Ovis aries: one gene and its partners. The protein of the gene in region 1 purifies or fractionates together with the protein of each later gene. This does not show direct contact. Links are inferred from orthologs where the notes say so. Each region holds a gene or a part of one and is shown in the gene's direction. Other genes may lie near its edges.

Region 1 (4,522 bases):
CATATGGGATCTAGTTCCCTGACCAGGGTTCAAACCTGGGTCCCCTGCATTATGATCTCAGAGTCTTAACCACTGAACCACCAAGGAAATCCCATGGAGAAGACTCTTGAGAGTCCCTTGGACTGCAAGGAGATCCAACCAGTCCACCTTGAAGGAAATCGGTCCTGAATAGCCATTGGAAGGACTGATGCTGAAGCTGAAACTCCAATCCTTTGGCCACCTGATGCAAAGAACTGACTCATTGGAAAAGATCCTGATGCTGGGAAAAACTGAAGGCAGGAGGAAAAGGGGATGACAGAGGATGGGATGGTTGGATGGCATCACCGACTCAATGGACATGAGTTTGAGTAAGCTCTGGGAACTGGTGATGGACTGGGAAGCCTGGCATGCTGCAGTCGTAAAGAGTTGGACACGACTGAGTGACTGAACTGAACTGAACTGAATGGGAAGCCACTGGGCCTTCCCAGATGGTGCTAGTGGTAAAGAAATCGCCTGCCAATGCAGAAAACATAAGAGATAGGAGTTCGATCTCTGGGTCAGGAAGATCCCCTGGAGGAGGACACAGCAACCCACTCCAGAATTCTTGCCTAGAGAAACCCGTGGACAGAGGAGCCTGGTGGGCTACAGTCTATATAGGGTTGCAAAGAGTCAGGCACGATTGAAATGATTTAGTATGCACAAGAAGCCACTGAGGGGTTGTTTTCTTTCTTTTTCTTTTTGGTCCCAATTTAGTATTGCTTCTCAATTGAGATTTAATCTGCTTACAGTTAAATGCAAAGAAAGATCTTAAATGTTGAGTTGGATGAGTTTTGACAATTACATACATCTGTGTCTGCTGCTACTAAGTCACTTCAGTCGTGTCCGACTCTGTGCGACCCCATAGACGGCAGCCCACCAGGCTCCCCCGTCCCTGGGATTCTCCAGGCAAGAACACTGGAGTGGGTTGCCATTTCCAATGCATGAAAGTGAAAGTGAAAGTGAAGTCGTATCCGACTCTTAGCGACCCCATGGACTGCAGCCTACCAGGCTCCTACATCCATGGGATATTCCAGGCAAGAGTACTGGAGTGGGGTGCCATTGTCTTCTCCGATACATCTGTGTAACCACCTGCTAAAAGGAGACACAGAACATTTCTATTATCCGAAAAGGTCCCGCCTGCCCGGTTCCGGTTAATTCTCCCCGTTTCCAGAATCCGGTTGGGTCTAAGCAGACTGTGTTTGCGTTTGGAAAGGATCACTCGGGCAGTAGTGCAGAGGACTGTCTGAGACCAGCAAGGAGAGGACGTACAGGCTAGGCGAGAGCTGACTAGGTGGCACCGAGGTCGCCTAGCAACCTGAGAGCGCTGTCTGAGGGTTTTGACAGCTCCTCGCAGGCGGAAGGGGAGGCTCCGCCCCCGCCTCCCCCCGCCCCTCGCAAGAGCCAGTAGGCAGCCCCGCCCCGCGTCGGGGGCGGGCCGAAGCTTCTTATTGGTCGGCCCTCCGGAAGCTACTGAATTCGGAATCTCGCCCCAGGTCTTGCCATAGCGGGCTGCGTCTGGATGCTCGGTGTGTGACGGCGGCGCGTGGTGAGGGGCGGCATGTGGCGGGCCGCGCGCCGTTCCGGCTCAGCCAGGAGACCTCCCCGCCGCCGCTGAGCCTGTTTTCTTTATCTGTCGAATCGGAGCGCGCCCTGCACGGGACACCCCGAGCCCTACGGCGCAGCCCGCCTTACCGGCCTGGGGACTCCACAGAGCGGGCTCGGGGATCCCCACCGCCGCAGGCCCTGGTGCGTGACTGATCCTCCGGCTCCCAGAGCCCCCGGCCCAGGCTGGGATGTTTGTCCTCGTGGAGATGGTGGACACCGTGCGGATCCCCCCGTGGCAGTTTGAGAGGAAGCTCAACGATTCCATCGCCGAAGAGTTGAACAAAAAGTTGGCCAACAAGGTACTGGGTCCGCGGGGTCGCAGGCAGGCCTTTAGCACGGGAAGGGCCAACACTGCCTACCCACCCGCCGCCGGCCTGGCCTTGCCAACCCTTGGCGTTTAGGCAAGGAGCTTAACGTCCCAGAACTCGGTTTCTTCACCTGTACGTGGGATGAACTCATCCTTTACCCCACTAGGATGTTGGAGAGAATCAAAAATTGGGTTTGAAAAAGGCTCTTGTAATTGGGGAATATTCCCAGGGACGGCGGAGCCTGGTGGGCTGCAGTCTGTGGAGTCGCACAGAGTCGGACACGACTGAAGCGACTTAGCAGCAGCAGCAGCAGCGTCCCCACTTCCAAATTATTGATAATTTGCAATCTAAATCAAGTCATTTCCCCCGCTGGGCCTCGGTTTCCATTTGCAAAATGGAAATAATCATTGTTGTCCAACCATGCATTGTTGCTGTGAAGATGGGTGGTAGTTCAGCTGTCAGGAGGTTTAGCCATTCATTCCTTCAACAGAAATGTTTGTGCACCTTTTACGTGCCAGGCCAGCACGCCTTAGTGCCAGCAAGAGGCCTTCCCTCTGCCTTTTCTGAAGCAGTTATTCTGTGGCACATCACTCTTTCCTTCTTAGCAGTCGCCACACTCTCTCCTTGCTTGCTTACTGGGTTACTGTTTTTCTCTCTTCCTCTACACGAGGGCAGTGACCTTTTTCTTCTCCGCAAGTAACCCCCATAGAGTCTGGGCACAGAGCAGATGTTCCATAATTGTTTGTTGAATGAATAAAACAGACACGCTTCTACTCTGTAGTGTGGTGGGGACAGCAGATATGAACAAGAGACTCTCACAGTTGAGTGTGTGATGACAAACTGAGAGAACTGTTATGGGCTTCCCTGGTGGCTCAGAGGTTAAAGCGTCTGCCTGCAATGTGGGAGACCCGGGTTCGATCCCTGGGTCGGGAAGATCCCCAGGAGAAGGAAATGGCAACCCACTCCAGTATTCTTGCGTGGAGAATCCCATGGAGGGAGGATCCTGGTAGGGTACAGTCCATGGAGTTGCAAAGAGTGGGACACAACTGAGCTACTTCACTTACTTACATTATGACGAGTGTTCTCATAAGCCTGTGGAATGAGGGAACTTCCCCTACAATGAGGGAGACAAGAGGCTTTGCTAGCCGGTGATACTTGAGCTGAGATCAGGTGGTGAGGAAGAACTCATGTAGGGGATTCTGGGCAGAGCAGAGCTATGCAGGAAGCAGAAACAGCATGTGCAAAGGCCCTGTGGCAGGAAGGAATATCAAGCCTGTCGTAGCTTGGAGGAGGCTGATGTGGCCAGGGCAGAGGGGAGGGCAGGCTGGAGAGTGGTGGGAGCCAGCCCATACAGGGCCCACAGGACCCTACTGGAGTGATGGCCTTCATCTGCAGTAGGCTGAGAAGACTGGCTGGCTGGAGACTGGAGGCAGGTCCTGCCATAGAGGTTGAAGGCACAGAAGGTGGGGTGTACAGACCTGGGGCGTTGTTGGCGAGAACTCACAGAGTCCTTAGTGGATGGTGTCTGGTTGCTTTGTAAGGTACAAGGAGAGGGGGCTTCTGAGGGGACAAAGAGAGAAGCTATGAAAAGTCCAAGAAGGGAGTGTGGTCCTTCTGTGGCACAGGGCCTTCTCTGGTCTGTTCAGACAAGTATTTCTTTTTTTGTTGTTGCTCCTTGAGTCTTGTGGGATCTTAGTTCCCCAGCTAGGGGTTGAGCCCAAGCCCTCAGCAGTGAAAGTGCTGAGTCCTAACCACTGGACTGCCAGGGAATTCCCAGACAAGTATTTCTGCATTTGAATTACTGAATCATTTGGGAGGAGACCTTGCAAAAGTGGTCCAAGGTGCAGGCAAGGGCGCCTGCCTCCTTGTGCTTCCAAAACCAGCCAGACTCTGGGCCTCACTGCGTTGAGGTCTGGCCAGGACTCACTTCTCGGAGCTTCTTGCTAATCCGTAAACAGTCCTGCAAGGTCTCCGTTTGGGATGTGATGATGCTGGTGTCAGATAAGCAGACACTGAGCGGCTAGTCCTTTGGAGCATCGTGGGGTGGGAACGGGTTATGGATGTCCTCGGCCTGTTTTGCCCAGTCTCAGGGCCTCCTGTGTGTCACTCTGCCAGCCTCAGTCCCTGCGGCCACATCTGTGTGTCTGAGACTTTGTGAGCAGAACAGCGACTAGCTGTGGTTCTGACACTCTGAACTGTGAGCTCCAGGATGGACTTGGGACCTTGGAAAAGTGTAGTTTTAACCTGGGGGGTTCCCCACCCAGTCCTTGCTACTAGTAGTAATGATCCTTGATTGCAGAGGGTTTCTTCTAGCAAGTGAGCCGGCTACTGAGCTAGGTGCTTCACATCTGTTCTTTTTGGATTTAACAGCCCCGCAGCCTGGTATGTCCATTTTTGCAGATGGGGAAACTGAGCTCAGAGAAGTGACCTCGCAGGCCACACAGGGAGTGGTGGGGCTGGTGTTGTGCCTTGAATCTGTCTTGTCACCAAAGGCTTTGTTCTTTTTAGAGCTCATCCACTGGAGTTCCTTGTCTCAGGCAGTGCCCCAGTGCATTTAAAATGGGGATACCTGCCCTGTGGAGGGGGAGGTG
Region 2 (3,388 bases), on another chromosome or scaffold:
CCGGGGGCGCCCAGAAGTGATCCAGTCCCACTCCATCTTCGAGCAGGGCCCCGCCGAAATGATGAAGAAAAAGGGTACAAAGCTGCCGGGGCTCTGGGAGGAAGGAATCAATGGATTTCAGTGCAGACTGCCCAAGAGAAGGACCAGGATGGTGGTATTCCCCTGCTTGTTCCCAGTTTAGCCTCCCTTGCTGTTGGCTCCTCCCTGACTCCTGGTGAACTATGGGTGGTTTTCCACAGGGAACTGGGATAAGACCGTGGATATGTCAGACGTGGGGCCCTCTCACATCATCAACATCAAAAAGGAGAAGAGGGAGACAGATGAAGAAACAAAACAGATCCTGCGCATGCTGGAGAAGGATGATGTAGGTACCAGTGGACTAGGGGAAGGGGCTGCCTTTGTGATGAAAAGCACTTCTAGGGAACCAGGATGGGAGAAGCTCTCTAATGTCCTGAAAGTCTAGTGAGCGGCAGGAATCTTTGATTAGAAAAGAGCTAAGATGGACTGTGGGCTTCCCAGGTGGCTCAGTGGTGTAAATCCACCTGCAGTGCAGAAGATGCAAGAGACACAGGTTCGATCCCTGGGTCATGAAGATCCCCTGGAGAAGGAAACGGCAACCCACTCCAGTATTGTTGCCTGGAAAATTCCATGGACAGAAGACTCTGGAGGGCTACAGTCAGACACGACCAAGTGGCTGGGCAAGGTGGACTGCCCTCCAGGTAGGTGTGTATGCTGGCCCTGCTGTGTGACCCCCCGACTTTTCTTTGGCAGTTCATCGATGACCCTGGGCTTAGGAATGATATTCGAAATATGCCTGTGCAACTGCCGCTGGCTCACTCGGGCTGGCTTTTTAAGGAAGAGGATGAGGAAGCAGATGTGAAAGCACGGCTGGCTGGCCCCGAGGAAGAGGATATAGAGGTGGACATGCCTGCTGTGAAAGGTGCTCTGTCAGTTAAGGTCTCGTCTCCTTTTCTCCAGCTGTTTCCGCAGGAGTGAGCCTGCCTGACTGTTTTAAGATTTATTTATTTTTTGGCTGTGCTGGGTGTTCGTTGCTCCACACCAGCTTTCTCTAGTTGCAGCAAGTGGGGGCTACTCTTTGTTGTGGTGTGTGGGCTTCTCATTGCAGTGACTTTTTATTGCCAAGCACAGGCTGTAGGGCGTGCGGGCTTCAGCAGTTGCGGCTCCTGGGCTCTAGAGCACAGGCTCAGTAGTTGTGGCACGTGGGCTTAGTTGCTCTGCAGCATGTGGGATCTTCCCCAGACCAAGGTTCAAACCTGTGTCTCCTGCCATTGGCAGGAGGATTCTTAATCACTGGACCGCCCTTTCTTAAATAAGTCACACAACTTTTGGATCCCTCTTTCTAAGCACAAAGTTTCCCTCCAGCTTCTTGGCTGAGTGACAGTGGAGCAGATCAGGTGGAAGGGGTGGGTGCAGTGAGATGGCCTAGAGGTGGCCTCTCATAGCCTTCCCTTTCTGTTATCTCGGGCAGTAAAAGAGGAGCCCCGAGATGAGGATGAGGAGACCAAGATGAAGGCTCCTCTCAGTGCAGCCAGGAAGATCCCGGGCCTCCCGAAGGATGTGTCTGTGGCGGAGCTGCTCAGGGAGCTGAGCCTCACGCAGGAGGAAGAGCTGCTGTTCCTGCAGCTGCCAGACTCACTCCCCGGCCAGCCACCCACTCAGGACATCAAGCCTGTCAAGACGGAGGTGCAGAGCGAGGATGGGCAGATGGTGGTTATAAAGCAAGAGAAAGACCGGGTATGCTCATCAGTGAGTGCTGTGAAGATGCACAGGACCTGGAGGGGAAATAGCTACCTGGAGGGGGAAGCAGAGTGGTGTTGCCCATAGTGAAATTAGAGAATAATACGTATTTGTTCTTTCTGCCTGTAAGGGGCTTGGGGCTCTCTGTGCTTCAGCCCAGATTGTGTGTGTGTTTGTTTTTCATGGTGAACTATTTTGAACATATACAAATGAGAGAATATAAGTTCTCATGTACCATCACCTAGCTTCAGCAGTTACTGATATTTTGTTCATTTATCTGTGGTTTGGGTTTTTTTGTTTTGTTTATTGACCAGTGGCAGGCATTCCCAGGAAAAGGCCCTCTCTGGGAAGCTCATTCTTTTTTTTTTTTTTAAATATTGTTCTTCTTTTTTTAAAGGGCTTTCTTGGTGACTCAGATGGTAAAGCATCTATCTGCAATGCAGGAGACCCGGGTTTGATCCCTGGGTTGGGGTGTTAGTTGCAGCATGCTAACTCTTGACTGTGGCATGTGGGGTCTAGTTCCCTGACCAGGAATCGAACCCAGGTTCCCTGCATTGGGAGTTCAATTCTTAGCCACTGGTCCACCAGGGAAGTCTGGGGAGCTCATTCTAACCTTTGCTGCTGATGCCTCCTTTGGGAAAGGGTTTGTTCTTGAAGGGAGGAGATAGTTCCTCAGCCAGTTTCCGTCCCCGATCGTCTTCACAGGAAGCCAGGCTGGCAGAGAACACTTGTACCCTGGCTGACCTGACGGAGGGACAGGTCGGCAAGCTGCTCATCCGCAAGTCGGGGAAGGTGCAGCTCCTCCTCGGCAAGGTGACTCTGGACGTGACGATGGGGACCACTTGCTCTTTCCTGCAGGTGAGAGTGAGCCTGGTCGGGGTGGAGGCTGTTCAGGATGTTGACAGCTTGGTGTTAAGTACGGGGGAAGAGCTCTTGGGATCATCGCATGAAAGTCAGAGGACTGAGCAGTGGGCTGTGTGGTCTTGCCTTTCATCTCCGTCTCCGTTGATTGGCAGGAGCTGGTTTCTGTGGGCCTTGGAGACAGCAGGACAGGCGACATGACAGTCCTGGGACACATAAAGCACAAACTCGTCTGTTCTCCCAACTTCGAATCCCTGCTGGATCACAAACACCGGTAAAGCAAGCAGATGGAGGACGGTGGTGACTGTGCCCACGACTGCTGCCTGCTCCAGACGTTTTGTTCTCAAATCTGTTCGACCCAGAAGGGGCCTGTTTAGCCCACCCACTCCAGCCATTGTCCCAGTTTTCCCCACAGGGCCCACACGTGGCTCCCTTCCACGGCGGCTGTGAACAGCACGATGACCTTCCCACAGTGAGGAAACCGCACACCCTCACTGCTAGGGGGTTGGTCCCTGCTATTTATTTTTATATTTATGTCTTAGCTGTTCAGTGGACTGCACCCTCCCCAGGCGGAGAAGGATTGGTCTGGGCAAGGACAGGCTCCTTCTTTGGGGATGTCTTGGTTCTCAGGGCAGGAGACGCTATTGTTCCCTCCTTCCTCCCATGAGGCAGCGCATGAGAGAGAACAGAGATGTCTGGAGTCTTGAGATTCAACCTCAGTTCTATCCATTACTAATTGTGTGACTGAACAAACTACCTAACCTTTCTG
Region 3 (3,545 bases), on another chromosome or scaffold:
AGGACCGCAGCCCTGGATCTGTAGCTATCTCTGAGAGGGAGTTTTTCAGCTTAGGAAATGGAGATGGATGTAGGGACAGAACAGAAACTGAGACAAAAGTTGCTTTGTTTTTTTTTCCACTCCAGAACTACTGAGTTCAGGATGCTTGAGACAAGGGCTGGGCTACTGGAGGGTCAGCAAAACATTTTCCTTATCCATCTTATGCATTCTGTCACCTAGAGATAGTCCATGGAAGGAATTCTAGGAAAAGGTCTATATAGTAGTGAAAAAACTGGGCAAAAGTCACTTCTTCAGCCCACTTCATAACCTTTAGCTCTTGTGTGATTTTTTTATTGACCAGGTGCTTGGTCAGATCTCCATACTTTTCCCTCCCAAATTATATCTTTGTTTTTTTCCAGTGTGTTCAGAGTTATCAAGATGGTCCAGGATCCTGATTGTAGAAGTATCAGTTCTTTTCTTATTAATTTTACTTTCTCTATTTTCTCTCTTTAGTTTTCTGTCTTCTTTTAAATCTTCCAATACCAGATTAGACCTAATGAATAAATGATACTAAGAACTGGATCTCCTTTAATGGGTGTATATGTAGGTTATAGTTCCTTAAAAATTAATAGACATAAGAGAAGAGTATGGGAAAGGAAGACCCAAAATATCCACCCACTTAAATGGAGAAACAGCTGGGCTAGGACCCAAGGAAGACTACTTAAGTGAGCCCATATGCAGATGTCCTGAGGTGAAGTAGGAGTTGTGTATCAAAGTCAAAAGGAAGTCCAGTAGAGACTTTTGTGCTTTAAGGGAGGGATGTATTTCCTCTGGGTGAAGAGCTATAGCTGGTTCCTTCCTTCCTCAGATTTTTCTGTGCCAGTTACTAGTCACATAGAGCTAACTAAATTTAAAACAAACAAAAATAAAAATTCAGTTTGTCAGTAAAAGCAGCCACACATTTCAGAGCACTTGTCACGTGTGAATAGTGCCTATTGTATTAGTGCAAATGTACCACCTTTCCATCATTACAGAAGTTCTGTTGGACTGTGCTGGATTTGAGCTATTATGCTATCAGGAGAGGGTGCATATGTTCTGGCCCTTCAAGGCTCAAGTCTCTATCAGACCTTGGCTGTAAGTTATCTACCCTCTCCATCCCCTTGTATCACACTCCAGTAGCCAGGCTGTGTACACAACCAGAGTTGTGTGCTCCATGGTCTCCCCTTCTCTTTGTCCTGCCCTCTGGCCAGCTCTTGTCCTTGCCCCACCCCTCCAGTCCCTGGAAAACAAGCTCCAGAAAAATTTTCCATCAACTTTGACCTGGTTTCAAATCTGGCCACAGATTTGAAAGAGGGAGGAGGCTCTAAATTCGTGAACAGGTAAGAAATGGAGGAGGCAAAGGTGAGAGTGAAGGTGACAGTCACCATGGCAACAGAGCTAGAACCTGATGCCTTGATAAAGAAAAAACAGGAGGCGCAAAACAACTACTGAGAATGAAAGCTAGACACAAAGACAACTGCAAAAGAATCTTTTCAATCTCACTTTCTGTTCAATTTACATTGATTTTATGAACGCTGTTGGCTCAGACGGTAAAGAATCTGCCTGCAATGCAGAGCCCAGGTTCAATCCCTGGGTCCGGAAGGGCTACCCACTCCAATATTCTTGCCTGGAGAATTCGAGAGAGAGGACCCTGGTGGGCTACAACCCATGGGGTCATAAAGAGTCAGACACAACTGAACTAACACTTTCATTTTTAATGAACTTTTAGGAGTCTGAAGTTGGGAATTACTACGTGGAGATCCACAGAAAAGCCAACACCCCTCTCCCAATAAAGGCTAAGACTAAATTTGTCTGCAGAAGTTTAAATGAAACAGAAATCAGAAAGTATGTTAACTTCTGCCATCTCAGGGTTTATCAATGTAAGTCACTCCTTTAGGAATAATAATCATTTCAATTAGAGGTGGAGTTGTGGTATCAATCTGTTGTTATTACTCTACAAAGAAGTAACAGGAACTGTAAACCATACCCTAACGAGGAAGGTGGATTTGAATGTTCAGCAAACATTTACTGAGTTATGATCATGTGCCTGAATAGGAATTGTTCTAGGAGCTGCAGAGATTTAAAAAAAAATGGTAGCTGTCTTCAAAAAAGTTGATATTCATTAACTGTAAAAATCCTTTAGTCCTGTTTTGTCTTCCTACATATAAACCACATTTTTACTGGCAAGAAACTATGATGAAACCAAAATAAGAAATAAAAGTACCATAACACTTTCCTCCCAAATGCCCTTACAAAATTCATTTCTCTGTATTTTAGGAGCTCATTAAACAAATAAACAAACAAAAAAAGCCTTATATACTCCAAAGCTGAAGAAATTTAGTAATGATTAACTAAAGATGTAGAAAACCAGATCAGACCACCAGAAGACCCCACTATTCACTGAAGTTCTTCAGTGAATCGGACAAAAGACAATGTAGCTCAAATTCCTTCCCTCCTCACCCCCATTCTGACCATAGTCCTTAGGATCAATAAGAAATGGTTTCTCTATAGGGTTTTCAACAATCTGAGTTGTGAAGTAAGGGGGAAAGCTCCTTTAGGCACATTTTCTTTCTAATAACTTCAATATTATCTTACAGACAAGAAGAGAAACATTTTTTTGCCATTAAAAAACTTTTTATTTTCTTTTTTTTTTTTTTTACAAAGAATACCCCCACCTGGGGTGAAAAATATATCTGGTTAAGTACAAAATATAGTTTTTCTCATACAAAAAGATATACAATTAAAAAACAAAAAATGAAACCACCTTCAGCCCACATACTTTTTCAGAAAAGGGTAGATAGAGCTCAGAGCTCTGACACAGGACAGTGAACAAAGTGCTAAGGCGGAGAGTGACTGACCAAGTGCTAGAGGCTGCAGTGAGACAGGGGCTGTCAACAACCCTGTCTCCTAACACTGGGCAGGAAGTGAGCCCTTGGGGCTTCTGTGAAGATCTGCCTTCTGGTTTCTCATGGCAACATCTGGATGCTCTCATCACAGTGCTGGGGCATTTTATCTAGGGTTCCTCCTTGGGTTTGGAGAAGTCACAGTGGGCAAGGCTGATAGCAGCAACCCTTCTCATGTGATCAGTGTCAGAAATGCAGAATTCTGTACACTGGGACAAAGTCTCAAAAGCAGGAACACTTTTTTTTTTCCCTGTCATTGTGCTTACCCCTAGAGACATAGTAGACCAGTTTTAGCTTACATCTGAGAAAGGAAAAAACCCCAAATTTGACACAAACTAAAGTGCTAAGGACATTGCCTCAGAATCAATTCCAAGGAGTCACACGAGAAAAGAAAAAAACATTCTCCCACATAAAAATGTTTGCCAACAGGAGAACACAGTGCAACAAGCTCTAAAAATGGCTTTTAAGACCTCTGGTGGGGCACAGTTACTACTGCTTTATGACTGATTAAAACTACTTTCTAAACAATGAAACTTAAAGCTCCTCCCCTTTAATTCACATGGGAAGCTTGCTCCAGAGTCCAAACCCAATCAATTCTGGAGGGCTTTTCTTTTTCTGTAAGTG
Region 4 (4,516 bases), on another chromosome or scaffold:
CTTGACGCTCTAGGCCGAATCCTGAGCAGAGCCCAGAAGATGACAAGGCTCGTTCGTGTCCGGCACATCCTCCCCGTCTCCCAGGAAGGGCTGAGGGAGGAGCCGAGGCTCCACTCACCAGCTGATGTGCTGAATGCCTCCCTCGCGCTCCTGCCTGAGCTGCACGTATCTCTGGATGGCCTTCTTCAGGTCCAGGACCGTGGCGTTCTGGACTACAACCACAGCTGCACAAGCAGAAGATCCCCAGCGTCAGGTGGCAAGAGGAGAGCCCAGAAGCTCTGTAACTTCCCAAAGCTCAAGTCTGGGCAGGTGTGGGTGTGCCCAACAGGCCTGGGCACAGCCCGGAGTTCCCACCCACCAGCTCTGCTAACATCCTCTCCTGTGAAGGTTCAGACTGCTCTGCCAGAGCGGGAGGGCAGCACTTACGCATAACTTCTCCATCCATCTTGCACACTCGCACTGTCATTGCTTGGCCGTATTCTAATGCTATTTGGGAATTAACTTCTTCTAAAGTAACCTGGAAAAGACCAAGGATGGAGGTGGGAGCTCTCTTCACCACCCAAAACAACAAAGGCAGACAAGCTGACAGCGTTTATAAAGTTAGGCAGAACCTTCCTGAAGTCTGAGGAGAACGGAAAATGGGAAACATCGATCTTTTACTTTTTACTTGAAAATTACATTATTTCTGCTTACCCCAGGCTTCTGCACACCAATTTCTGGTTGTTTTTAAAACACTGCTGACATGTCAAATGTCCTGACCAGTCGGTTTTTCGGCGCCCCTTTAAATTTCGCACCCGAGGCCAAAGCCTCGCTCGCCTCCAGGCCCGGCAGGAGCCTTCTGCCTAGACGCTCCGCTACGCTCGGAAACGCCTTCCCCAGGCCGAGGCCGCAGCCCCCAGCGGTCCTAGGGTCCGTCCGCGCCCCGACCCCCGCCCGGGGGAACGACGCGGCCCCCGCGCACCTGGATCGGAAGGTCGCAGAGCAGCGGGTCTTGCACAACCATGGCCAGGCCCTCCTGGAACACGTCCACCGCCTCGGAGTGCGGCAGCGCCTCCTCCTCGTCCTCCTCGTCGTCCTGCGGCTCCGGCCGCGCCGCCACCCGCGGCTCCTCCAGGGCGCCGGGCTTCCCGCCGGCCCCGCCCGCACAGCTGGTCCGCGCGACAGAGGTGGTCGCGCACGCGCCGGGAAGGCTACTATATCCCCACCGTCGGGCGTCGGGGGCGGGGCCACTCGAGGACCAATGAGAGATGAGCTACTGGGAGCCGGCCCGCCACTGCTCTCCCTGGGGGCGGGGAGGCGGCGTGATTATTGGTGGGCTGGCAGGGGGCGGGGCGGGGACCACGGGGCGCTGGGAACGCCGGCGCCGTGCTGCCGCGGGCGCTGCCGGGAGCGCCGAGCCTGTGGCGGCCATGCTGCTCTTCTGCCCGGGCTGCGGGAACGGGCTGATCGTCGAGGAGGGCCCGCGCTGCCACCGCTTCGCGTGCAACACCTGCCCCTACGTGCACAACGTCACGCGCAAGGTGGGCGCGCGCGGCGCGGAGGCCGACGCTCTCGCGAGGCGCCCGCGCGACCCGGGCCTTCCCCGCCTCCTTCCCCGCCTGGACCGGCGTCCTTTGGGCCCTGCCGGCCGCCCCGTGGCGCTCCGCCCGCCGCGCGCTGCTCCGGGGGCCTGTGTAGGGCTTTTGCGCCCGGGTCGCTCTTCCCCTCTGTACCCGTGTCACTCGTCGCTCGTGCTTTTACCCGGAGGATTATTTAAAATTGCAGCCTCTTTCTCCACCTCGCCCTTCTCCTAATCTTATTTTTTTAATAGGACTCGTTTGCCTTCCATTGCGGTTTATAATTTACTTGTGCGCCTGGTTTGTTAACACTAGGGTATACATTTTTCAGTTTTCGTCCCCTCTTATGTTCTAGTCTGAACATCTGGGATATATTGGGTATTCAGTACGGAGTGATACATACTGTGTTATAACTCAGTTGTAACTCAGATGTTACTTTCCGTCGATAATGCCTCTTTCCTTTTTAGAACACCTTTAATAATTTTTAGAAGTAGAGCACGCTGGTGTTGCTGCTGCTAAGTCACTTCAGTCGTGTCCGACTCTGTGCGACCCCATAGACGGCAGCCCACCAGGCTCCCCCGTCCCTGGGGTTCTCCAGGCAAGAACACTGGAGTGGGTTGCCATTTCCTTCTCCAATGCAGGAAAGTGAAAAGTGAAAGGGAAGTCGCTCAGTCGTGTCCGACTCTTCCCGACCCCATGGGCCGCAGCCTCCCAGGCTCCTCTGTCCTTGGGATTTTCCAGGCAAGAGCACTGGAGTGGGTGCCATCGCCTTCTCCGGTGTTACCTCATTAGTTTATATGCTGCTCCACCATGTAGCAGTGCTGTGGGAGTTTAGAGTCTGAAATTATGAAGGGTGACATTTCAAGGACGGCTGGTAAAACCTGGAAAATAGTTAGAAAAAGCTCTGTCTGGGCAGAGTGGCTGGGCCACCCTGCCAAGTGCTCCACTTTGGCCTTAGTCGTCTTTGGATGTCTTATTTCAGTGACCAAGTATTGTAGAGGTGGGAGAACAAGAGGGTCACACCAGCGCCGTTTTTCCTTTCCTGCTCAGTTGCTTCATCCAGTCCTCACAGAATCTTTTTATGGGGACATCCCAATTGTGGATCCTCCTGATTCTCATGGAGATTCCTGCTCGGTGACAGCAGGAATTGTGCTTTCCTTTAGTATTCCTCCCTTCATGTTGAAGGCAGGAAGCAGAGTCTGGGCTGATACTTGAAGGCATGGTTTGGTGACCTGGCTTTGTACTGGTCGCTTCCTGGGAGAGTCTGAAGACCTGCTGTTTGTTGTTTGTTAGGTAACAAATCGGAAGTATCCAAAGCTGAAAGAAGTGGATGATGTGCTTGGTGGAGCAGCTGCCTGGGAGAATGTTGACTCTACTGCAGGTGAGAGAGAAAACCTTTCCTGTTTCAGAGCTTTGGGTAAGGGTGCAGCCAGGAGCTGTAGGTAAGGATGAGGCCGCTGGCTGTGCCACTGCAGAGCAGAGTCTGTGATGTATCAAGTGGGCTTCTGAGACTAGAAACTGTTTTCTTCTCTAATGTATTTGTTGCGCAGACAGTATTGGCACAAGCTTTGGAGTGATTCAGACCTGAGTTAGTCTCAGGGTGATCTCATATTGATGCTGATGGGATTAATTAAAAAATCAGTGTAAGGATTCTGTTCTAATATAGTTTTCTTTTAAAGTCAAAGGTAAAGAGTATTAAACTGCCCTAAATATTCTGTGAAGTAAGTATTTGAGTCTTGATTCATCTCTGATAGTGACAGATGTGACCCAGGAAGGAAAGAGAGCCCTCGACACGACCAGGCCAGAGAGGAGGAGGAGCTCAGGGCGATTAGTACTGTCTTTTTACCCCAGAGGGGGCCGTCCAGATTTGCTCTGTTAAAAATCTCTCATGGGCAGAATTTGTCACTGGGAGGTGAATTACACACCAAATAGTGTCTGAGTGTTTGAAGGAGTTTTCATCAAGAGCAAGGTTCTTGAATTGAAATCTCGGTGAAAGTAAAATTAAAAAAGAAAAAAGTACAATCAAGATCACAGGTCTCCTTCCCTCAGTTGTGAGAGCACCGTGGGAATGACACTCCTTTGCAGGAAAACCTTGCAGGGCACCTCAGGCGACGGATACTAGTTGAGCTGGGGAGTGTCTGCTGCTGTGTTTCATGAAATGTCCACTTTTAACAAGCATGTTGATCATGAGGATCGTTTGTTTTTTTTAGTAACCGTGGGTCACTGTTTGTTCTTGTTGCCAGAGCCGTGTCCCAAGTGTGAACATCCTCGAGCCTATTTCATGCAGCTGCAGACCCGCTCTGCAGATGAGCCCATGACCACCTTCTACAAGTGCTGCAGCGCGCAGTGTGGACACCGCTGGCGGGACTAAGGGCGGGGTGGCCCAGCTGCGTCAGCGTCTGCGTGCTTTACTGTCCAGGGTGCATTCCCAGCTGCGAGTGGGAACTGCGTGTCCTGAGGGTCTTGGCTGGCGTGGTGGAAAGCTGACCCTTTAAGGGTGGCTGCCCGGGGAGTCAGGAAGTCCAGCCCGCCTCCCAGTCAGCAGATTAACTCCTTGATGCTCAGAATGTCCAGATTCTGCCCATGCTGTGTGTGGACGGGAGTATCCGTCCCTGAGTGCACCCTGCTGAGGTCCTGCTCTTCCTCTTTCATGTTTATTGGGCAGTTGATGTTCTACCATCAGCCAACACTCTAATATTTACATTGTTTCATAACTAATAAAGTAAAACTTACTAGTTTAGTACATTAGATGCCCCTGTTTAACTGTTAATTGCAAACTTATTTAATTAAAATTTATCCTGAATATTTAATTAAAGTTAACAGTCTTGTTATCACCTTGTCAGTGTTTTAAATGCCTTAAGAAGTAGACGTCAAACCATAAATCCCAAAACCGACTGCCATATTTAGGGCCAAACTGGTTACGGACTTGCTAATAACATGGATTTCTATTTAATTATTAT
Region 5 (4,526 bases), on another chromosome or scaffold:
CTGGACAGGCCGGGGCTCGGTAGGGCCTGGGGCGGGGGCTGCCGAGCCGTCTAAATCAGATTCGGGCCCAATCCCTCAGCGGCGGTCCCCTCTCTTGCTTCACCGGAGGGGCCAACGGCTGACTGGCCAGGAAAGGTCCCTGTGCTCTGCTGGGGGGTGAAAAACAAAGCTAGGGGAGAACTCGGAGGGGGTCGCTAGGCCCAGAAACGGAGGTTGCTTGGAATTAGGACCCTCGGTCTCTCTCATCCCCTTCCTTTCTCCTTCCCTTCTTTGCGGGTCCCCCAGGAGCACCCCCAGGGAGGTGCACTTTGAGCCACCTGGCCTTCGGCTAGTGCGGGGGGTTGGGGTGGAGATGGGGAGGGAACGGGAATGGGTGAGGCCAGAGGGAAGGGAGGTCTAGGTGCCTGGGAGGCGGGCGTGGTGGGGACAGAGGTCGCTTCTCCCTGGCAGGGCCCAAAGAGAAACCGGAGTAGGTGCTGACGTCTAGCAGCCATGGGGGAACACGGCCTGCTGGGGCTTTGTGTTCTGTATGAGGGTCCGGAGGACAGAGCAGAGGGGGTGAGCACTAGTGTATGAGCAGCGTCAGGGAGAGTGTCAGGAGAGGCCAGTGCCCAGGAAACAGGCAGTGTGCAGGAGGAGGCAGCGCCGGGGTGAAGGGGCGCGCGGGAGGTCGCAGGGGGCTCCCGGGTAAGGGAGCAGTGCCCAGGAGGGGGCCGAAGTGAGAGCTGGCACCCTAGAGGAAGGGGCAATGTAAAGAAAGAGGTGGCATCTGTAGGATAGGGTAGTGCCAGGATGAAGAAGCCCGTAGGAGAGCTTGTCTAGAAGGAGAGGACCGTGGTAGCGGAAAGGGAAGAACAGAGCTTAAGGGGCAGGGCTCGAGGAGGGCAGTGGGTTTGGGGTTAATGCCCTGCTGAAGGGGTGGTGTGAGAGAAGAGAGCAGGAAAGGGGACGGTGCAGGCTTTCCTCTTCCCCATGGTGACATCATGGCAAATTCCCAAACTGGAGGGACCCGGCTCAGGTGACATCCAGCTGGGACGAGCCGGCCCGGGCCGGCCTGGGTGCCAGCAGGAAGGGCTGGGTTTTGCGCCCAGTCGGGCCAGCGCCCTGGGGGCGGGGTGCTGCTCCCCTCACTCTCTGTGCGGACTTGCCCTCGGCGGGCACGCAGACCGGCACAGTAAGGCTCGGGCCGGGCTTCTCTGGGCCAAGGATCAAGGTCCCTGGCTGGGGCAGGCCGCTTGAGCATTCCAGTCTTCCAGACCCGGCTTCTGAAGAGGGCGCAGTAGAGCCTCGGGAGAGAGCCGGACGCGACGCCACCTCTGTCGGAGGTGGGACCCATCGTGTCGCCGCCGGGGGCGGGGTTTTCTGGACCCGAAACCAGCCCTCAATTCTGAAACCTCTGGGAAACAATCGTTCGGGGCGGAAGTTAAGAAGCCCCGAGAGCTAGGCAGCGGAAGTGGCTGCGGTACAGTTCTTCTATGCGCATGCGTTATTGTATTCCTTTGCCGCTGCCGTTTCAGCGCTGCGTCGTCTTAGCGCGCCTCTTTTCCTCCACGCGAGGGGGTGCGCTACCCCTAGTCGTCGTGGTCAGCGCGCCCAGTCCCTCTGCTACTCTCGTGGCCCCCTCACCATGGCGGGCATCCTTTTTGAGGATATTTTTGATGTAAAAGACATTGACCCGGAAGGCAAAAAGTTTGACCGAGGTAAGCAAGGTTTGGAGGGGCGGTTTCGGGGGAAGGGGCTAATCTCCTCTGGTACCCGCCCCCAGGCTGCTTGTCCACCCACTTTCGCGTGGCCTTTCCCTACCGGTGGGTCCTGGTGTGGGGACCTCTCTCGAGAAATAATTTTATAGATAAGAAAACGGAGACTCCCGAGCTCTCCCTGGTTTCACACAAGCTGTGCTCGCTGCCTGGGTGGCCTTTTCTGCTGGTGCTGGTGGACTCCAGGCATCTTTTATAATCGCTCCCCGCTCTGGACCGGGCGCTGTACTTAACACTTCGCACGCGCTTTGTCTCACTTATTTTCTTCCAGGAGTAGGCGGTGTCTTACCCATTTTGCTCTGAGAGGCTAAGCAGCCCACCCAAGGTTGTACAGTGAATAATCCGACTTCACAACCCGTTCCTCAGAGTCTTTAGCTGTTTGTAAAATCTTCTCAGAGTTTAAGAGTAGACTGCTTGGTATACACCTCTTTATTCTGTCATTTATCAATAATTGTCCTGGGTGTCTCTTCCTTTGCCTGGACACTGATAAGTTCTTCGGGACAAACACCAGTTCTTACACATCTTGATAATCAATCCCCTTAGCACAGCACCTGACACAGGAAGAGGAAACCTTAGGATGAATGAATACCTTGCCCCAAATCAGGTTATTTCTTAATCACTTAGGTTGGCCTAGAACCTGGATATTATTTATTGCCAGAGGATCTTTGATTCTTTTCTGTGGATTCTGTCCACTGGCCACAGGTTGTCTCCCCTTTCCTTCCTGCATGTGTGATTCTGATTGAGCCTGTACTTCTGTGAGAGCAGATGAGAGGCCAGTGGATACAGACTGCATTAGACTGAGTATTCTGTTGCATCCAGGCCCCTGAAGTACCTGTCTGCCCTGCCCTGTAGGGTCTGCCCTGGGCCACAGGCAGTTAACTTCTGCCACTCTTCCCCTCCAGTGTCTCGGCTGCATTGTGAGAGTGAATCTTTCAAGATGGACCTCATCCTTGATGTAAACATTCAGATTTACCCGGTAGACTTGGGTAAGTATTGAACACAAACAGCAGGAGGCTTTATGCCATCTCAGCTGGTCTCCACCCTCTGCTACCGCTGTTGTTTTCAGGTGACAAGTTCCGGTTGGTCATAGCCAGTACCTTATATGAAGATGGTACTCTGGATGATGGTGAATACAACCCCACAGATGATAGGCCTTCCAGGTGAGGGGATGGAAAAGGGAGCACCTGAAATGTGCCTGAGGACTAAGTGGATAGGTGTATAGAAAAACCCTTACTTAATTCATGAAATAAATGATTATCAGCAGACTCTGTTAGCTTAAGAAAAGTGCAGCACTTAAGAATCCAGACATCCAGGTGTTTATCCAAAGCAGTGATTACAGTGTGAGTTGTCACTTTTTGATAGTGGAGGAAATGAGCACTGAATGACCTAGGCTCTGTGGGCCTTGTGTCTTGGGAGGGAGTTTGGTGTGATGGAAAGGCTTTGGACGCCCACTCAGTTCACATCTCAGCTCTACCACTTATTTGTTGGATAACCTTAACCTCCTTCAACCTTAGTTTTTTCTCATCAATAACATTGATGGTCATACCTAGCTCACAGGGTTGCTGTGAGGATTGAATGACATCACGTTTAGAAAGTGCCTGGTGTTATGATGCTGGCGTATAGTTACCAGTTACCATTTTTTTAAAGGGCCTCTTACTTTTGTTAACTGTATTTAAGAATAACTGCCCCTATTGTTCCACAGGGCTGACCAATTTGAGTATGTCATGTATGGGAAAGTGTACAGGATTGAGGGAGACGAAACTTCTACTGAAGCAGCAACACGCCTGTAAGTTCCTTGGTCTTGTGAGAGCCCTTTCCCTTCTCATTTTGTGAGAATTTGGGCTATGCTTTGAAAATCTGGACCATCCTCAGGCTCCCTGGATTTCTTTCTTCAAGCACCTCAGACCTAGCGGGACCCAGAAAGGAACTGTTTTGGGAACAGTTTCAGTCTGAAATGTAGGCTGGTCAGTTTGCCCTCTGTCAGGATCTTAAGGCCTGTGATCTAAATGAGAAACTGTTAATCTTGCTGAGTGAAATGCCAAGGAAAGTTACTTCTCCAAGAACTAAATGCAGCATAAGTGATTAAACTGCTAGGCTTTTTTGTTTGTGTGTGTGTGTGTGTTTTGCTACTCTGCAATCCAATCCCTAGTTCTTTGGTTTCTCTGCCCAACTATTTTTTCCTTTTCTTTAAAACCTTATTAAAACAATATGTGCCCTTTGCAAGAAATTTGAAAAGCAGAAAAGTAATATGAAGAAGGAAAAAAGTCACCTATAATTCTATAACCAGAGGGAATCTTCTACATAAACATTCTTGAATGTTCTAGGTTTTTTTTTTCCTATGTACTTTTTTCTTTGAGATCATGTTGTTTATTACAATGTTTTGTTCTGTTCCATTTGCTTAATGTTATGTAAAACATGTTTCCTCATGTCAATTTAAAGCTTTTCCTAAACATTTTTTTTAAATTCCTAAACATTTTTATAGCTGTGTAACATTCCAATAAATGGATGTATCTTAATTGATTTGACCATTTCCCTTAGTTTGGTCATGGAGTATTTTCCACCTTTCTGATATAAAAAACACTGCCTTGCACATATCTGTGCCGTCATCTTTGTCTGAAATTTGGTTCCTAATGACAGAACTCTAGAAGGGTGCCTTTTTTTCTTAGGCTGGCATGGAGAGTAGCTGAGTAGCAGTTTTTGCTCTGGCACTCAGACTCACGGGACTGGGTCTTCTGTTTCAGCTCTGCCTACGTGTCCTATGGGGGGCTG
Region 6 (3,858 bases), on another chromosome or scaffold:
GCAGGCGTCCGCGGTCCTGCCCGGCGTGCGGATCAAGGAGGAGCCCATGAGTGAGGAGGGGGAGGACGAAGAGGAGCCCATGGACACCTCGCCCGGTGGCGGCCTCCACGGTGGGCTGGCCAACGGGCTGCCTGCCGTGCGGGCGGCAGGCGGGGACAGCTTCAATGGGCACCCACCCTCCGGCTCTGCTGGCACCCTCGTAGCCCGGGAACTCAGGGCCTTTGTGCAGGCCACCTTTCAGAAACAGTTTGTGCTCACCCTGAGCGAACTCAAGCGCCTCTTCAACCTGCACTTGGCCAGCCTGCCCCCCGGCCACATGCTGTTCAGCGGCATCTCGGACCGCATGCTGCAGGACACGGTGCTGGCCGCCGGCTGCAAGCAGATACTGGTGCCTGTAAGTAGCACCCCCGGCGGCAGACGAGGCCCCGTGGAGGGCTCCTGGGCACGCAGGCCTGTCCAGGAGGAAGTGGCTATGGGAGAGAGGCTGGCAACCAGACTGGCCTGAGCTCTGCTGGCTTTGGGGAAACAGCTGTTGGTAGGGTGCCTGGGGCAGGGGCACTTGGGAGACCGTTGGCCTCAGTGTAAATGTAGGATCCCACGTGGTTGCTGTGTACGGTATTGGGCTGGTCAGCCTCCCAGCCCTGCACCCTCATCTGAAGTGGGCAAATGTTAGTTTTGTGTCACAGGCTTTGTTGAAGGCTGAGTGGGTGCCTATAGGCCATCACCTGTTGCCTGGCACACAGGAGGGCTTTGGCCATGCCAGCTCCCCATCCCCGGGTCTAGCCCCTTCCTGTGCCAGCACCCCACCCATTCCTGCCAGCTTTGCCATTTTTTACGATGATTTCACTTCTAGTGCCATTTGATCTTGTAACCGCAGATGAAGAAACTGAGTTTCAAAGAAATAAAACGCACTTGCCCAGGAAGTGATAGAGCCGGACATTGAACCTCAGTACAGTGGCTGCAAGTCTTAAATCCTTTCTGCTGCAGCTGAGAGGAGCTGACCTCTCACCAGAGCCCTCAGCTGCACCTGGGTCCCGGCGGGCCTCCCTGTCCTAGAGCTGGCTGGCCAGCTCTGTGGCTTTTCAGTGAGCATTTCTGGTGCAGGCCTGCAGGTGCAGGGTGGGCCACCCCCACCCCGGGCTCCTTGTCTTGTCCCGTCATTGGAAGGGGTCCTAGAGGGGTGGAAATACAGGAGCAGAGGAATCTTTGGAGACCACTTCCCTGAGCTGAGGGTACAAGGGTGCCCGGCTGGGTGCTCTCTTCATTCTCCTCCCAGACCTGTCAGCGAGTCGGGTGAAGTGGGCTGTGTATGCCTCTTAACAAGGGAGCACTGCTGTCCTCAGCGTAAGATCAGAAGCATGTGCAGCCTCGGGTGACCTGAGGCAAAGGCCCGTCCCTGTGTATGTGAGGAGCAGAAACTAGGGCAAGAGGCCCTGGGTCCCAGGCTGGCTGGCGCTTCCCAGGGGATCTGGCGCTCGTGGCACGGGGCCCTCGGTGAGGTCTCTATAGAAGGTAGCGGGCTTGGGCACCCTGCCCTATTTGGACCCTCCATTGTCCACCCAGTGATAGGTTCAGTTACCTGCAGACTCACCTTTCTCTGACGGAGCCAGGCAGGGCAGGGGCACCTGCCTGATGTTAGCCAGGCCATCTCGGGCTGTTGGAGGGGATAGACGACAAGGGGCATGAGTGGCCACCCCCAGGACCCGCTCGTCCTACACTTCTCAGTAGGGTCGGCCTCTCGACTCAGGAGACCCTGGCCTTCTCTTCCAGCTCCCTTGCTAACTCTCCTCTGTATCTTAGTCACGTCCAAGGCAGAAGATTCCTCAGACCTATCCAGCCTCATTTTTTTTGTTTTAACACAAAGGAGCTGAGGCTCAGGGAGAGCAAGTATATGCGCCAAGACTTAGCTCCTAGCGCTGCTGCTTATTAGTGGCGTGGCCGTGAACACTGAGTAAACCTCGCTGCATGGGACCTCCCTCTTGGAGAGCGGCTCCCTCTCTGGTAGCAAATGAGATTTAAAGCCCACCTGGGACTTTACGTGGTAGGAATTGTTACTGTTACTTGGGTTGTGGTACCAAGACCAGAATCCACTCTGCCAGGTGCCCTTTCCACCGTCCCCTTCTCCGGGCACCAGGAGCCTGGGCTGCCCTCTCCGTGGTCCGTCTTCAGACTCTGCTGAGCCACGTGGCATGGGCTGCTCAGGGTGGATCAGGGCCTCTAACCCATGTTGACATGGCTTTGGAGGAGGAGGGAGTGAAAGGGATCCCATGATATTCCTAAGGATTTAGGGGGGTGGGAGTGCTTAGACACATCTGAGGGTTGGTTGAGGGTGGGAGGACACAGGATGTTAAAGCAGAAGGGAGAGCTAGCGGCAGGCTGATGGGAAACACAGACGCCGCCTCCCCGCCTTCCCGAGCACGTCTGGCTTGGGCTGGGTTTGTCTGTGTCTCATGGAAGCGGTCTCCGCGTGTGGCTCAGGAGGAGGGAGAAGCCGCAGTAGGTTTGCAGCCGCCCACAGCTAGCGAGAGGCAGAGGCTAGGACTGGAACTCCGTTCCCAGAGCTGGGCGGGTGCAGGCCGACAGGACCAAGGCGGGTGGATTCATGTGTTAGAGCCAAATGGCCAACTCACGCCTGGGCCTCGGTCAGTTTCCCCCACAGACGGCTGCTTCCCCGGATGAGCAGAAGGTGTTCGCCCTCTGGGAATCTGGAGACATTAGTGACCAGGTGAGGTGACCTTCCAGTCTCCCCAGAAGGGGGAGGGCGGTGTTCTGCAGGGGGGGACCTTTGGGGAGACCCAAAGTATAGTCATATCCATTTCAAATTTTCCAGCCGCTCCCGGTTTTAAATATTCTGTCTCTCCATATATTTCAAAACATACTGGATGTGCCAGTGGTGTGAGCCAAAAGCAGTGGTTCCCAAATGTCAGGACTGGCTGCATCAGAAACACCTTTTAAAAAGTACACAGATTCTGTTTCGTTCTGTAGGAATGGGGTAGGGTCCTAGGTATTTAAGTTTCTACAAAGCCTTCTAGATGATTCTACTGCCCAGAGATTCAGTTTAGTTCTATAGGAATGCGGTAGGGTCCTAGATATTTAAGTTTCTACAAAGCCTTCTAGATGATTCTACTGCCCAGCCAGGCTTGTGAACCGGTGATGGACCACATTTCTCAGATGACTGATGGTGGCAGGAATCAAAAGGATTTCTTATCAATCTCAGGTATCAGATCAGAAGTCAGAGAAATCAGTCCTTTTGCCTCTAGTCACACCTGGACAGGAATGAACAGAATATTAATTCAACCAGCAGGATCTGAGGTCCAGAAGTTTTCCTTAAATCATGAGCTTGCCTGAATTTCAAAGATTAAGATTTAATTGCTAGACTCCAGTAGATCTGTCCTTTTCCAGGTGTTGTCCTTAGGAACTGGGAGAGGGAGTGAGCAAAAGCCCCCACTAAGATCTGTGTCCCCTTTTGCCTCTTAGAAGGAGACTGACAGGCAGGCTGAGAACACCAGAGGGGCAGGGCCTTCTGTGATGGAGAGCCATCTGGAACAGATCTCTGTGCTTTTGGCCAGAGTGGGTGGCATCTGGGTTTCCTACTCTTGAACTACTCCAGTAATTAAAAGGAAAAAAAGGTAGTAAGTGCGTATTCTTCAAAACAAATAAGACTGAAAGCTGTATGGGAAGCTGGTCTCCTGCTTTGCCTGACCTGATTCCCACTCCTCAGAGGCGATGGCTTTTTAATTACAAGGTGTCATTTTATATATATACACACACAGATATACACAGATTGTGCTGCTCCTATTTGATGTCTCACCTTGTTATTTTCAGTGGGCTTCTGGTTGCACTGGTTGAGGATTTCGT
Region 7 (4,201 bases), on another chromosome or scaffold:
CCACCTACAAAATGGTGATAGATGGAGGTAACAAAAATAATATGCTGCTGCTAAGTCACTTCAGTCGTGTCCGACTCTGTGCAACCCCATAGGCAGCAGCCCACCAGGCTCCCCCGTCCCTGGGATTCTCCAGGCAAGAACACTGGAGTGGGTTGCCATTTCCTTCTCCAATGCATGAAAGAGAAAAGTGAAAGTGAAGTCGCTCAGTCGCGTCTGACCCTCAGCGACCCCATGGACTGCAGCCTTCCAGGCTCCTCCGTCCAGGGGTTTTCCAGGCAAGAGTACTGGAGTGGGGTGCCAGTGCCTTCTCCAGAAATAATATAGTTTGTTGTAAAAATCAAATGCAGTCTACTTGGCACATAAGAGTTGCTCAATAAATGTTAAGTGCCTTCTCTTTCCTCCTCACTCAGGATGTTGACAATCAAAGGAAAAAACAGGACATCCCAGCCCTCCATATGGCTGATTATGCTATAAACACAGATGCTATATGACTGGGGAAGAGGGAATATAGGTGAAAGAGAGGGCTTAGTAACTCCAGATGGCACAGGTATTTACTTTGCCAGTTCTGAAGGAAAGTATAATGTCTCTTATTTTTCTTTTTGTGGACAAATAGGAAATTCCCAAAACACCAGACCATGCCCCATCCCGGACCTTCTATTTATATACTGTGAACATCCTGTCAGCTGCCCGAATGTTGCTGCACAGGTGCTACAAGGTAACTCCTCCGCATTCCCTCTACAGAGCTGTCTCAGCCTCACGTGCCCTTTAGCTGTTTTGCCTGAGCTACTTATGTAGAACTATGTGCATTTCTTCTCTCTCCTCAGAGTGTAGCCAACTTAATAGAAAGGAGACAATTTGAAACCAAAGAAAACAAGTGAGTAACATTTTCAGCTGAGTAATTACATATTTCAAGGCCAAAAAGCTTATGGGGAAATTTCCTACAGAAATGGAAACCAGTAGAGATAATAACCTGTCTGGTTGCACTGAATTATTGGCTTAGGTTGGCTTAGGTCATGCATTCATATACACTTTTGTCAGATATCCCCAGTGAAATAGTTTTGCAGATTAAATTTATGGGCAACATATAAACTGGCACCAAACTTTAAGTACAAGTGAGAAGCAGCAAGAGTTTCAGGAATAAAGTCACATTTCTAATTAAACTTGTAGGAAACATCCTTAGAGAGTGACATTGTCCACTTTGACCAGGAACATGGTAAAGGGGGAGATATGCCCCAGGTGTATGAGATGAAATCTCCAAGGCTAGGGGACATGCCTCAGAGTTGTGTTTTTCTGACAGACGTCTACTAGAAAAGTCTCAGAGGGTAGAAGCCATCATTGCATCTATGCAGGCTACAGGCGCAGAGGAGGCGCAACTGCAGGAAATTGAGGAGATGATCACAGCCCCCGAACGCCAGCAGCTAGAGACCCTGAAGCGCAACGTCAACAAGTAAGCCTCACAAACTTCAAAGCTCTGGTTCAAAATGCCCTCCAAACAAATCCACTTTGATGTCCTCCCACCCCTCCAACATGAGCAAACTGAAACTCACTATCTTCCTCCTCACCTCAATTAACAGAATTTAATCCACCTATTTCCCTAAGCTCAAATTTCTGAAGATATTCTCAGCTTCTCCTCCCTCACCTCTCCCTCACCTCTCTCTCTCCTCTCCTCTTTCCTCTCTTTCCTCTCTCTCCTCTCTCTCTCTCTCTCTCTGTCTCATGTTCACCGCAACTCTTGATGTTACTTCAGCAGAGGTGTCCCAAATTTGGCCTTTCATCTTGCTCTCCATGCATGCCCTTCTCACCTTTTTCCAAGACCTTTGCAGTCACCTCCCCCTTCAAACCATTTCTTATAATGCTTTCAAAGTTAGTTTCTTTAAAGGGATTGATAGTAGCACTCTTCTACTTTAAATGCTTTATTGACTTCTTATTTACAGCGTAAAGACCAGCCTCCTTGGTGTAACATACAAGTCCTTTCATGGTCTCCTACTAGCCTGTCCCTTCTTCCTCATTTCCTTTCACTCGTCACCATAGGCCTTCATAGAGATTGCTTTGAATCTGGGGAAGATTGCCATCTTAATGATACTAAATCTTCCAACCCATGAATATGAAAGGTCTTTCCATTTACTTAGTTCTTCCTTAATCTCTTTCATTGATGTTTTCAGTATTCAAGTCTTATAGTTTTTTTTGTTAAATTTATTCCTGTTTATTCTTTGTTGATGCTGTTTTAGTGTTTTCTTAAATTTCATTTTTGAATTGTTTATTGCCAATATATAGAAATAGAACTGATTTTTGTGTTTTGATTTTATATCCTGCAATTTTGCCTATTCATGTACTAGATGTGGTAAGTTTTTTGTGGATCCTTTGAGTTTTTTCTGTCTATAGGATTATGTCATCTGTGAATTAGAAAGAGCTTTACTTCTTTCTTTTCAATCTAAATGCCTTTTGTTTGTTTTTCTTGCCTAATTTCCAGACTAGAACTTCCAGTGAAATGTTGAATGGAAGTAAAAAGCAGGCATCCTTGTCTTGTTCCTAATCATAGAGGGAAAGTTTTCAGTTGTTCTCCACTAAGTATGATGCTCAGTATGGGTTTTTCATAGATGATTTTTATCAGTATTATCAGTAGAAGTGGTATTCCCTTCTATTCCTAATCACTTTCAGCCTCAGCCACTCTCAGCTTCTATTTTAAAATACACTAGGTCCTTTTACACCTGTGCCTTTGCTGTGTGCTTTTTCCTCCTTGCAAATTAGACTATAACTTCTCCTGGGACAGAGGTGGTGTTTTTTGAATCCTCATCAATTTCCACAGTGCCTAGCACACACAAGATGCTTGGTCAATGGGAGAATGAGCTATTAGTTCTCTTGCTTTCTGCCCAGTACTTTCGAGGATAACCAGTCCAGCCTCTAATCTTAAATGTGCTGATAAATGTTCAGTCTGGACAAATGCTCTCATTTATTTCACTCAGGTTGGATGCCTGTGAGATCCAGGTGGATGAAACCATCTTCCTGCTGGAGTCATACATCGAGAGCACCATGAAGAGACAGTGACCCAGAAGAAAAGTCTTCCTCCAAAGATCTGAGGGGATTGGAAGGAAGAATAAAGGAGTAGGAGAAGATCCAGATTCTGTGCTGACATTCCCTCTCCCTACCACCCGGAGTACACCAGAAAGAGTGTGACCTGTCTTTTTTTTTAAGTTTGCTGATCCTGTTTTAGAACCATCTTTATATTCTACCCTCATCAAATCCTGCCAGGAGAAAGAACCTTAAATCAACTAGATTAATCACCTATTAGATGCATCAGTTCCCACCGAGAAGTCAGCTAAAGCTGTGTTTGAACATCCCTGACAATGAGAAAAACTTCTTCCTAAGCTTTTTATCCCATTTTCAAAAAGCTGCACCTGTTCTTTACTTTGTTAAACTGTAATATTAAACACACACACAGTGTAGAGAATGTGAAAGACTACCACGAGAGGGGGATAAAAGCTATTTTTAGGGCTAGCAGGTGGATTGGCCCAAGCAGTCATACTAGAATCTATGGATAAATGGCACATTTGCCAGCTCTGGGCTTCTAACACATCTGAAATTATGTGTGTGAAACTTAGCACAGTGCTTGGCATATGGTAAGCACTCAATAAATCACTGCCTTTCTCGTCACCACTATTCCTAAAAACTGGCAATTGTAACTTCCCTCTCTCAGTACTGTGGATAGATGACTAGTTGGTATAATTTGTCCCAGCAGCTTCATTTCATTTAAAGCAGTTAGGTCCTATTTCATAATCAGTTCAGTTTGCTCCTACCAAGTGTTAGTCCTAATTCATTAAACATTGGAATGCCAATTAACTGTAGAGACAATACACAAAGATAACTCTTAATACAATACCATCTCTGCCTTCAAGACACCGCCATTTTTGAGCACAAGTTAGTACTAGAATGCAAAGATGAATACCCTCTAGCACAAACGTAATGAAAGGAGACAAATAAGTACAAGGATGTGTTGGGGGGCTGTAGTATAGAAGTGAAGGGGGAAAGGGTCAGGCAAGAAAGGAGGCAAAGAGAAGTGACACAATCTGTATTTTGAAAGATAGGGATTTACCAGGTGAAAGGGGGAAAGACCCCAGAGGGAAGCAGACCCTGTTTCTTAGGGGAACCACAAATATGATATGACTAGAAAACGGCATAAATCCTACCAGAATTGACAGGCAGG

The links.
Region 2: the proteins of POLR3H (region 1) and POLR3D purify together in Homo sapiens (affinity purification with mass spectrometry; 6 studies listed by BioGRID and IntAct, counting the BioPlex papers as one, with this or other methods). This does not show direct contact. The link is inferred for Ovis aries from reciprocal best matches to the Homo sapiens genes POLR3H and POLR3D.
Region 3: the proteins of POLR3H (region 1) and POLR3GL purify together in Homo sapiens (co-immunoprecipitation; 4 studies listed by BioGRID and IntAct, counting the BioPlex papers as one, with this or other methods). This does not show direct contact. The link is inferred for Ovis aries from reciprocal best matches to the Homo sapiens genes POLR3H and POLR3GL.
Region 4: the proteins of POLR3H (region 1) and POLR3K purify together in Homo sapiens (affinity purification with mass spectrometry; 3 studies listed by BioGRID and IntAct, with this or other methods). This does not show direct contact. The link is inferred for Ovis aries from reciprocal best matches to the Homo sapiens genes POLR3H and POLR3K.
Region 5: the proteins of POLR3H (region 1) and POLR2H purify together in Homo sapiens (affinity purification with mass spectrometry; 5 studies listed by BioGRID and IntAct, with this or other methods). This does not show direct contact. The link is inferred for Ovis aries from reciprocal best matches to the Homo sapiens genes POLR3H and POLR2H.
Region 6: the proteins of POLR3H (region 1) and POLR3E purify together in Homo sapiens (affinity purification with mass spectrometry; 9 studies listed by BioGRID and IntAct, counting the BioPlex papers as one, with this or other methods). This does not show direct contact. The link is inferred for Ovis aries from reciprocal best matches to the Homo sapiens genes POLR3H and POLR3E.
Region 7: the proteins of POLR3H (region 1) and POLR3C purify together in Homo sapiens (affinity purification with mass spectrometry; 5 studies listed by BioGRID and IntAct, with this or other methods). This does not show direct contact. The link is inferred for Ovis aries from reciprocal best matches to the Homo sapiens genes POLR3H and POLR3C.

The regions. Positions count from the first base shown.
Region 1 is NC_056056.1:218,449,372-218,453,893, reverse strand, and holds the start of POLR3H (DNA-directed RNA polymerase III subunit RPC8), read left to right. Parts: upstream 1-1,490; 5' UTR 1,491-1,811; coding exon 1,812-1,922; intron 1,923-4,522.
Region 2 is NC_056055.1:43,362,005-43,365,392, reverse strand, and holds part of POLR3D (DNA-directed RNA polymerase III subunit RPC4), read left to right. Parts: coding exon 1-74; intron 75-239; coding exon 240-364; intron 365-771; coding exon 772-940; intron 941-1,489; coding exon 1,490-1,767; intron 1,768-2,463; coding exon 2,464-2,616; intron 2,617-2,774; coding exon 2,775-2,897; 3' UTR 2,898-3,388. UniProt on the Homo sapiens protein: DNA-dependent RNA polymerase catalyzes the transcription of DNA into RNA using the four ribonucleoside triphosphates as substrates.
Region 3 is NC_056054.1:99,305,465-99,309,009, forward strand, and holds the end of POLR3GL (DNA-directed RNA polymerase III subunit RPC7-like), read left to right. Parts: intron 1-1,747; coding exon 1,748-1,915; 3' UTR 1,916-2,778; downstream 2,779-3,545. UniProt on the Homo sapiens protein: DNA-dependent RNA polymerase catalyzes the transcription of DNA into RNA using the four ribonucleoside triphosphates as substrates. Specific peripheric component of RNA polymerase III which synthesizes small RNAs, such as 5S rRNA and tRNAs.
Region 4 is NC_056077.1:658,685-663,200, reverse strand, and holds POLR3K (DNA-directed RNA polymerase III subunit RPC10), read left to right. Parts: upstream 1-1,409; coding exon 1,410-1,520; intron 1,521-2,849; coding exon 2,850-2,937; intron 2,938-3,799; coding exon 3,800-3,927; 3' UTR 3,928-4,387; downstream 4,388-4,516. Other genes in the region: SNRNP25 (U11/U12 small nuclear ribonucleoprotein 25 kDa protein), read right to left, coding at 119-224, 427-517, 962-1,252, 1,334-1,411. UniProt on the Homo sapiens protein: Core component of RNA polymerase III (Pol III) which synthesizes small non-coding RNAs using the four ribonucleoside triphosphates as substrates. Can mediate Pol I proofreading of the nascent RNA transcript.
Region 5 is NC_056054.1:203,611,937-203,616,462, reverse strand, and holds the start of POLR2H (DNA-directed RNA polymerases I, II, and III subunit RPABC3), read left to right. Parts: upstream 1-1,493; 5' UTR 1,494-1,627; coding exon 1,628-1,700; intron 1,701-2,659; coding exon 2,660-2,743; intron 2,744-2,823; coding exon 2,824-2,917; intron 2,918-3,459; coding exon 3,460-3,543; intron 3,544-4,498; coding exon 4,499-4,526. UniProt on the Homo sapiens protein: DNA-dependent RNA polymerase catalyzes the transcription of DNA into RNA using the four ribonucleoside triphosphates as substrates.
Region 6 is NC_056077.1:20,542,830-20,546,687, forward strand, and holds part of POLR3E (DNA-directed RNA polymerase III subunit RPC5), read left to right. Parts: coding exon 1-394; intron 395-2,647; coding exon 2,648-2,725; intron 2,726-3,858. UniProt on the Homo sapiens protein: DNA-dependent RNA polymerase catalyzes the transcription of DNA into RNA using the four ribonucleoside triphosphates as substrates.
Region 7 is NC_056054.1:99,181,229-99,185,429, forward strand, and holds the end of POLR3C (DNA-directed RNA polymerase III subunit RPC3), read left to right. Parts: intron 1-613; coding exon 614-715; intron 716-795; coding exon of another isoform or gene 796-824; coding exon 825-874; intron 875-1,297; coding exon 1,298-1,447; intron 1,448-2,963; coding exon 2,964-3,045; 3' UTR 3,046-3,651; downstream 3,652-4,201. UniProt on the Homo sapiens protein: DNA-dependent RNA polymerase catalyzes the transcription of DNA into RNA using the four ribonucleoside triphosphates as substrates.